Daphnia pulex: one gene and its partner. The protein of the gene in region 2 purifies or fractionates together with the protein of the main gene of each other region. This does not show direct contact. Links are inferred from orthologs where the notes say so. Each region holds a gene or a part of one and is shown on either strand. Other genes may lie near its edges.

The links.
Region 1: the proteins of deubiquitinase OTUD6B-like (region 2) and ubiquitin thioesterase otubain-like fractionate together in Homo sapiens (co-fractionation; 4 studies listed by BioGRID and IntAct, with this or other methods). This does not show direct contact. The link is inferred for Daphnia pulex from reciprocal best matches to the Homo sapiens genes OTUD6B and OTUB1.

The regions. Positions count from the first base shown.
Region 1 is NC_060021.1:6,843,150-6,846,595, forward strand, and holds ubiquitin thioesterase otubain-like, read left to right. Parts: upstream 1-1,475; 5' UTR 1,476-1,589; coding exon 1,590-1,755; intron 1,756-1,829; coding exon 1,830-1,879; intron 1,880-2,015; coding exon 2,016-2,315; intron 2,316-2,383; coding exon 2,384-2,464; intron 2,465-2,521; coding exon 2,522-2,641; intron 2,642-2,706; coding exon 2,707-2,907; 3' UTR 2,908-2,946; downstream 2,947-3,446. Other genes in the region: AT-rich interactive domain-containing protein 4B-like, read left to right, coding at 21-352, 419-538, 624-775; uncharacterized protein LOC124194062, read right to left, coding at 3,433-3,446. UniProt on the Homo sapiens protein: Hydrolase that can specifically remove 'Lys-48'-linked conjugated ubiquitin from proteins and plays an important regulatory role at the level of protein turnover by preventing degradation.
Region 2 is NC_060021.1:6,053,161-6,057,195, reverse strand, and holds the start of deubiquitinase OTUD6B-like, read left to right. Parts: upstream 1-1,235; 5' UTR 1,236-1,398; coding exon 1,399-1,507; intron 1,508-1,591; coding exon 1,592-1,722; intron 1,723-1,785; coding exon 1,786-2,042; intron 2,043-2,100; coding exon 2,101-2,302; intron 2,303-2,568; coding exon 2,569-2,775; 3' UTR 2,776-2,823; exon of another isoform or gene 2,824-2,893; intron 2,894-3,897; exon of another isoform or gene 3,898-4,035. Other genes in the region: tyrosine-protein phosphatase non-receptor type 23-like, read left to right, coding at 19-120, 184-494.

The DNA.
Region 1 (3,446 bases), about 790 kb from region 2:
TTCATTTCTTCTGGATTTAGGGATCATGGTGGAATGTCACCAGATCATAGTAGTGTTAAATCAGAGCGCGAATTCTCAGAAAACGACAATGCTGCTCCTGGTGCTCAGGTATCCCAAAATGCAATTGAACTTCCTGTAGTGCGAAACATAGGACCAAGGGCAAGCGCGACAGCTCAACCAGTACCACCACCAGTTGTTAAACGACGAGAGGATGAAGCTTCTCGTCAAATGCAACATCATCAAGAGGAAGAATCGCCTGTCAAACGACGAAGAAGAGGAGCTGTTCTGGGTGCGTCCGATCAGAATTCATCCCGCAGAGGCAGAGGTCACGGTCGGAGTCCAAGAAGAACTGGTGAGTTAATTTTTATTTCATGAAATGAAGTAATAATTAAATTATTTATCATATTCCCGTTTTAAGGTTCCGATAGCGAGGATACAGTAACAGATTACGTTAATTCCTCGAGCATGGGATCAGGTTGTGTGAGCTTGTCCAATTATCAGCCTCGTTCGTCTCGATACAATTTCTGCACAGATCTCGGTAATTAACGTCTTTTCCTATTTAATTTTTCAAACTTAACGCGATGTGTAAAAATTGTTATTAATTTTTTTTTTATTTTACGTAGACCCAGAGTTGGACGCAACACAGCGCATCGCTTCTTTACAGGACAAACTTCGCGAATTAAGACAAACCTACAGTGCATTGAAGGCAAGGGTCATGCTAATCGACCGCCGTAGAAAGAAATTGAAGCGCAAAGAGAAGGAAGCCGCATCTTGATAACATGATGGATTAACAAAATATGCACAATAGGTTTTCTTAATTTTATTCGATTATGACAAGTGACTTTATAAAACAGTTTGTGTTATTTATTTCTAACTGACCGCCGTTGCGATGAATCATGCATTTCCCATTGTTTCTCATTTCATTGTTTGTATATGTGTGCGTGTATGGAATACTCTCTCAACATCCTCGTCGTGGATGCGTGATGACTAGAGCCTTGACAGTCGATACTTCGTGAAAAGATCCACTGGTGGTTGCAATTCAATCAGAATCCTGAAGAAAAAAAGCCCGTATTCCCACTATTGATAAATAGCCAGCTATTCTGGTTAATTTGTTATCTTATATTGGTGAACTGATGTTGGACCTGATTAGAATAACCCCATTGATGATTCATTTAGTTGCCATTTGTTTAAAAATGAGAGAAGCAAACTTTTCCCCTATTGTTAAGGTTCTTGACATGGTAACGTGAAAACTCGCATTTTAAATGATTGATTTCTAATTGTTTTTGCATCCCTTTTCTTTCATTCTCCATCTGTCTTTTTAAATTTCTGAAATGAAGACCTTTATGATTTCCCCACTTTACGCCCTAACCTCAGTTTTTCGTATGGTATTTCGGCCATTTCCTCCCTAATTTTAGAGAAAAAACATTGAGCAATTTCATTTCGGAGATGTTTTACAGCTTTGAAATGGAATAAAATACGATAATTATGTCTTTTGGCGATCGAATTTTGAAATACAATTTATTAGCGGATAGAAAAAAGCTGACTTTAAATCAAATCGCAACGCTGTAGAAGTAGTTGAAGTTTTGTTCATGCAAATTAGCAGCTGTTTGCTGGGGGGTAGTCGAGTCTTTATTTTTTTTGTTCTTGTTTCTTCATTCCTATTCGATTTACTTCTTCCATTGGAATTGGTGACAAAGTGCGTTACTTCTCACTTGGGAATTAACAATTCAAACATGGAAATGGTACCAGAAACGGGTATGTTAATACGGAAATACGTGACGAGTTTTCATTGATTCGTTAATGGCATGTTTTGTTATTTTTAAACCAAGAAATCCAAGATGAAGGCATTCTAAAGCAGCAAAGAGAGATTGAAAAAGAGGTTTGTTGACATTGCTGTGACCAAGAATTTTATAAATGTTAAATGATCTCTTAATATATTTTGGTCAACAATTGTGTTTTGCTACTCTCATGTCAATGTATTTTTATCTTTAAGTTATCTTATTTACAAATAATAGGTTGCAGAGATCCATCCCTTGGTTGGAAATAAACAACCACTGACATGTCTACTGAAAGAGTACATGGATGATCCAATATATACAAATAAGTTGACAAAATTGGCTGGTGTGTATCAGTCGATCAGAAGAGTGCGACCAGATGGAAACTGCTTTTTCAGAGGATTTGGATTTTCCTATTTTGAAAGACTTCTGGATAATGAAGAAGAATGGAAAACATTTCAGGCTATTGTGATGGGCACAAAGGATCAGCTGATATCACAAGGATTTCCTAAATTTACTCTAGAAGACTTCTTTGATTCGGTATGGATCCATAAGAATAAGAAAAATGAATTCCTTGTAATATTGTTTTTTTTTTTTTTTTTTTTTAGTTTATGGAAGTAGTTAACCGCCTTGGAGGTGAGGGGAAAATGGACGCAGAAGAATTAAGTCGAATTTTCAACGATGCCGGGGTAAGTATGAGCAAGAAAACGTTTCGATACTTTGACTTACGTGTGATATTTCTACAGACCAGTGATTATTTGGTTGTTTATCTCCGCCTTGTAACATCTGGACAATTACAAAAAGAGGAAGACTTCTACCAGAATTTCTTGGAGGGAGGCAAGAGTATGAGAGAATTTTGTCAGCAGGTACTACAATAAGTGGGAGAGAGAAGTTTTAAAATCTTTAACTTAATTGTACTCTTAATTTTCAGGAAGTGGAACCCATGTATCGCGAATCGGATCACATGCATGCCATAGCCCTAGGATCAGCTTTGAAAGTTGGTATTCGAGTTGTTTATTTAGATCGAGGTGAAATTACCACTAGTCCTCCAGAACATGATTTCCCAGAAGATTGCACTCCTTCCGTTTATCTGCTATATAGACCCGGCCATTACGATATTCTGTACAAGTAAAGACGAATAAAACCGAAGATATTTCCCTTTTTCAAGAAATGAATTGAGCAAGTTAAACGTTATTAATATACAATTGTATTCTGCATACGACGGCGCAGTGTTATACAAAAAAAAAATAAGCCATGCCAGTTGTTCTTATCTAGAAATGGGTTGAAAAAACGTATTTACAAAAACCAGATTGTTTCGGCGGACTTCCACCTTTCTTCCTTTAGAACGCTGCAACCTGTAACGAAACAAAACACTGCACGGCATTAATAATTTTTTCCGATTTACAAGGATCGACCAGGATTATAATGAAAGGAAACAGACCATTTTACGATACATTAATAACCTAACCCAATGGTGCAAGAACCTCGGTAGTTGATCATATATGGGGTGGTAGGCTCCATCAATGTGTAACAACACTGTGAATATTCATAGAAAATGCATAATACAAACAAACAAAAAACATACTGGCATAGCTAAATATGTGACACAGGGCACCTACATTTAAGAATGTTTGTAATTTGATAGGTTTCCATATCCTCAAACTTGTGCAG
Region 2 (4,035 bases):
TAATTTGCTTGAATATAGGAGGAATTTTGTCGGGAACGACTTCATTGCAAGGATCCCCTATAAAGAAACATCATCCATCGCAAGATTTCATTCATTCACCGATTCCAACTCCTTCGAACAGTAAAAATGTTTAACCGTTGCCAACATTTTGCATTTGATTTATGACGCGTTCGATCTTTGTAGATGCGACACCTGTGTTGGAGGCAGCGGCGAATGTTTTGAAAGAAACGACAGCAACGGAAGAAGTGGCTCCCCAAGTAACAGAAGAACCAGCAGCGATGTTGCAAACGACAGACACACCTACGCCAAAAAAGAGCCAGGCTCTAGGGGCGTTGGCTATCCTTGATCCGGCAAACTTCACGTTGGACGGCGGCCAAACAAATAGACACCGCGTTACAAAAGAAAGTTTTAAAAACGCCTCTCAGCTCGGTTCAATGTCTGATCCTTCTGATCCGCTCAGCCAACTCGATCCTTTGTGGTCATTGGCTAAATAAGTTTTTCTGAGTCAAATTGAAGGCCATTATTATCGATACTACGCTGATGGCAAAAGATAGCGAATTATTTCTTGCCTCTTTCTTCTTCTTCATTATTATTTAGTAATCTGATCAAATAGCTTCCCATGGCGACATATTAGTTTGTTAGCATCGTCTGAAGATTTAACCCGTGGAAGAATGGCATATTTTGCATTCCGCTAAGTTTTTTGGAATTTTATGATTGATGTACCGAATACACGTTCAACATTAAGTGCCGCTAAAATTTGACTTTTAAGTGGTTTTGAGAAATGCACAGTTATTTGCAAATTGAATGTGTTTTAGCAATGGCTTGCTTCACGTTGGCGGGGCAATGAGAAAAATGGTATGCAGCTGCTGACTATTGCATCACAAAGGGAGCTTTATCGTTGTTGGACTTGAGCAAGCGCATCTTGAGCCTGAGGAAATTTTGCTGTCTTATTAGAAAGCGCGCACAATTCCATATGTCTTGTGTGTAGATTAGCTAGTCAAGGACGCGCGCGTATACAACAGAAACGCCTCGCCATGCAAACAACAAAAAAAGGAAAGGGGTAACCCTCGATCTCTTTGTATCGATGCAGCCCCAAAAACCAAAAGACCTGATGAAAAAACCGAAGAATAGTCATCACCATCTACCAACTACGGCAATTTTTACCGTTGAATTTGGGTAATCGATTGTCCTCGTGTGTTTATACAAAAAGGATGCTGTTTAGTTTCAAATGAGCTGGCATCGTCTGCTAGCTTTCGAAAATTCTCATTTCTCATGTGTGCTCAGTCAGTTTAGTAGGGGATTCTTGGTATATTTATGTGCCTATTGAGGTACATTTATTTATGATCGCATGAGATTACAGAGCTTTTTGGTGTTGTAATCATCATTCGAAAAGAAAGAATGGCCGAAGAAAATTCCACCGATGAATTAATAGAAGAGAAGGCTGAAGAGTTGGACGGCGAGGAAGAATTATTGGCTCGGCACCGGAAGGAAAAAAAAGATATTCAAGGTTCTTTGGACTTTCAAAATTGCATATTCTCGGAGAATATTTGTTTATTTATATTTTTTTGCTTATTGATATTTATTCAAACAGCAAAGATTCAAGCTTTGAAGAAGACAGCAACGAAAGGAGACAAAAAGAAAAAGAAGGACGTGGCTGAGGAGATTGCCAAGCTAGAAACTGAAATAGAGACTAAACATGCTGCAGAATTGAAGAAATTTCAGGTTGTGCAGCCCATTGATATGATAAATATGTTTGTGTCATGTTTTGAATTAATTTTTTAAAAGGAATCCACAGCTGAAACCAAGAAAATCTCTGAGCAACTAGAAGATGTAAACTTGGCAGCCAAGGGTGAAGGAAAAGTCACAAAGGCTCAAAGAAGAAGAGACAAAAAACAGGACCAAGCCAAAGAAAGGGTGCAGTTGATTGAAGAACAGGAGAAAGCTAATCTTTTGGGAGTCAGGCACACTGAAACCCAGAAAATCAAAGCAATACTGGCCAAGCAAAATCTGACTTTCTTTGAAATACCATCTGATGGCAACTGGTACTTTCTACATAATTCATTTTCGTACAAGACGTAATATATTTCATTGTTTCCCCAGCATGTTCGCGGCCATACTGCACCAAATTAACCGCGGAGGTGTCTCACAGTCTGTGCAGCAACTTCGCAATCTTGCGGCAGAATTTATGCGTTCAAACGTGGACGATTTCATGCCGTTCATGGACGAGGTGGAAAACGAAGAACAATACATGAAATACTGCGACGATCTCCAACGAACCGCCACGTGGGGTAGCCAGCTGGAGGTACATACAATACAATCTTCTTCATTCTTGACCGCTGTTGTTGCGCTCAGTGAAAATATGAATAACTATTGCTTAGCCTGTCGAGGGAGGGAGGGAAAATTTCGATTGATGATGGAGCCTCCTCTTTAGGAGATGCGCACAACCTTGGGGCCTTTCCGTTGACGATGAATGGATGAAAACTAATTTCCATTTGTGTATTTTTTTTTTCTCTCTTTTATCCATTGCCTCTGACCCCTTGCGGCAACAATAACAACACTTAACTGCAGTTGCGAGCTTTAAGTCAAGTTTTACGACGTCCCTTTGAAGTCGTGCAGGCTGAAGGTCGTCCTGTTATCATAGGCGAAGAATTCACGGATCCATCATCTACTCCGGTACTGCTCACTTACCATCGCCACATGTACGGCTTGGGAGAACATTACAACAGCGTCCAGCCTCGGCCAGCCGACGACGAGGACAATGACGGCGGCCAATAAACCAACATCCCGCCATCTCTCTCAGTAATCTCCCACCTTCACCCAAAAGTAAATGGTGAGCTTTATAATGGGAAAATTCCAACCTTTATTTCGCGAGATTACAAAAAGTGCAAACACACACACGTGAATATCTTGTGAGTGGCTCGGCAGTTTTCGTTTTTCTTTCTCTTTCTGGAAATTTTCCATCGTTAAAATAACCGTCTGTATGTATGACGAATGCCAGTGTACTTGGCAGCTCTAAACGGCTTGTTTTTGGGACCGAACCAGTCCACCAAACGTGCAATTTAGATTTAAAAGTTAAGAATATCTTTTAAGGCTGTTGCGGTTTATTAGTGTTATTCTTTTATTGAGTGGAGTCAACTCCTCCCCGAGTTGATGAGAGAATTCCGGTCACGATGCCGAAGGTGTTTATCCACTCTAGTCATCTACGAAAGCCATTAAGTCTCGAAAGAAAAAAAGACAAAGGGAAAATGCCGGGACAATGCCGCCCTCTCGTTCGCCCCCTCCGTCCGTCTAAAGTATCATCGTATAGTTTTTAGTAATAATCGGCAACGAGCTATAAATGCGAATGATATTCTGACCCCCCGTCAACAAGATGAGCCACAAATGGAGTCGTTCGCCCGTCGCGCACGAGCGATGAAATTTTCGCCACAGTCCTACTATAGTACCCATATAAAATGACTCGACTACTACCACCTATCGCTGACGGCTTTTCTTTTTTCTCGTTTTTACATTTTTATTGGACAGGACAACGGCGAAATGTCCTTGATCCATGCGCCATAAAGTTACACTGTATCATCATCAAAGAAGAGTCCTGATGAAGATTTTTTCTCTCTTTTCTCAAACAAGTTATTCAAGGACAACAGTTTTTTTCTTTTTATTCATTTCTCTTTTTCTTGCTGCCCCCTACACAGTTATTAACTGTTTTGGTCGTCGTCGTCGTCGTGTTTCCCCAGCAGTTTTGTATTGAAATTTTTGCGTATCACGTTCCGCGATTGTCTGAATTTTTCAGTTTCGTTTTCCAACGGGTAAAATTTATGTTATTTTTTTGTCTGACTAGTTACGGATTTCTCTCTTTTCGGCCCCGCAACTGATGAGTTGTCACTTTTGTTTCCATTTCAGAGTTATGAAATTGGCTGGAGAAGCAAAATTGATGATGTGATACATTCGTGCGCGTACGTGTAACGTATCCTTCTCTGCCCTTTGGGGGCGGACAGACAGGATGTTGTAAAGAAAGAAAAACTACACCGGGGAGGAAGG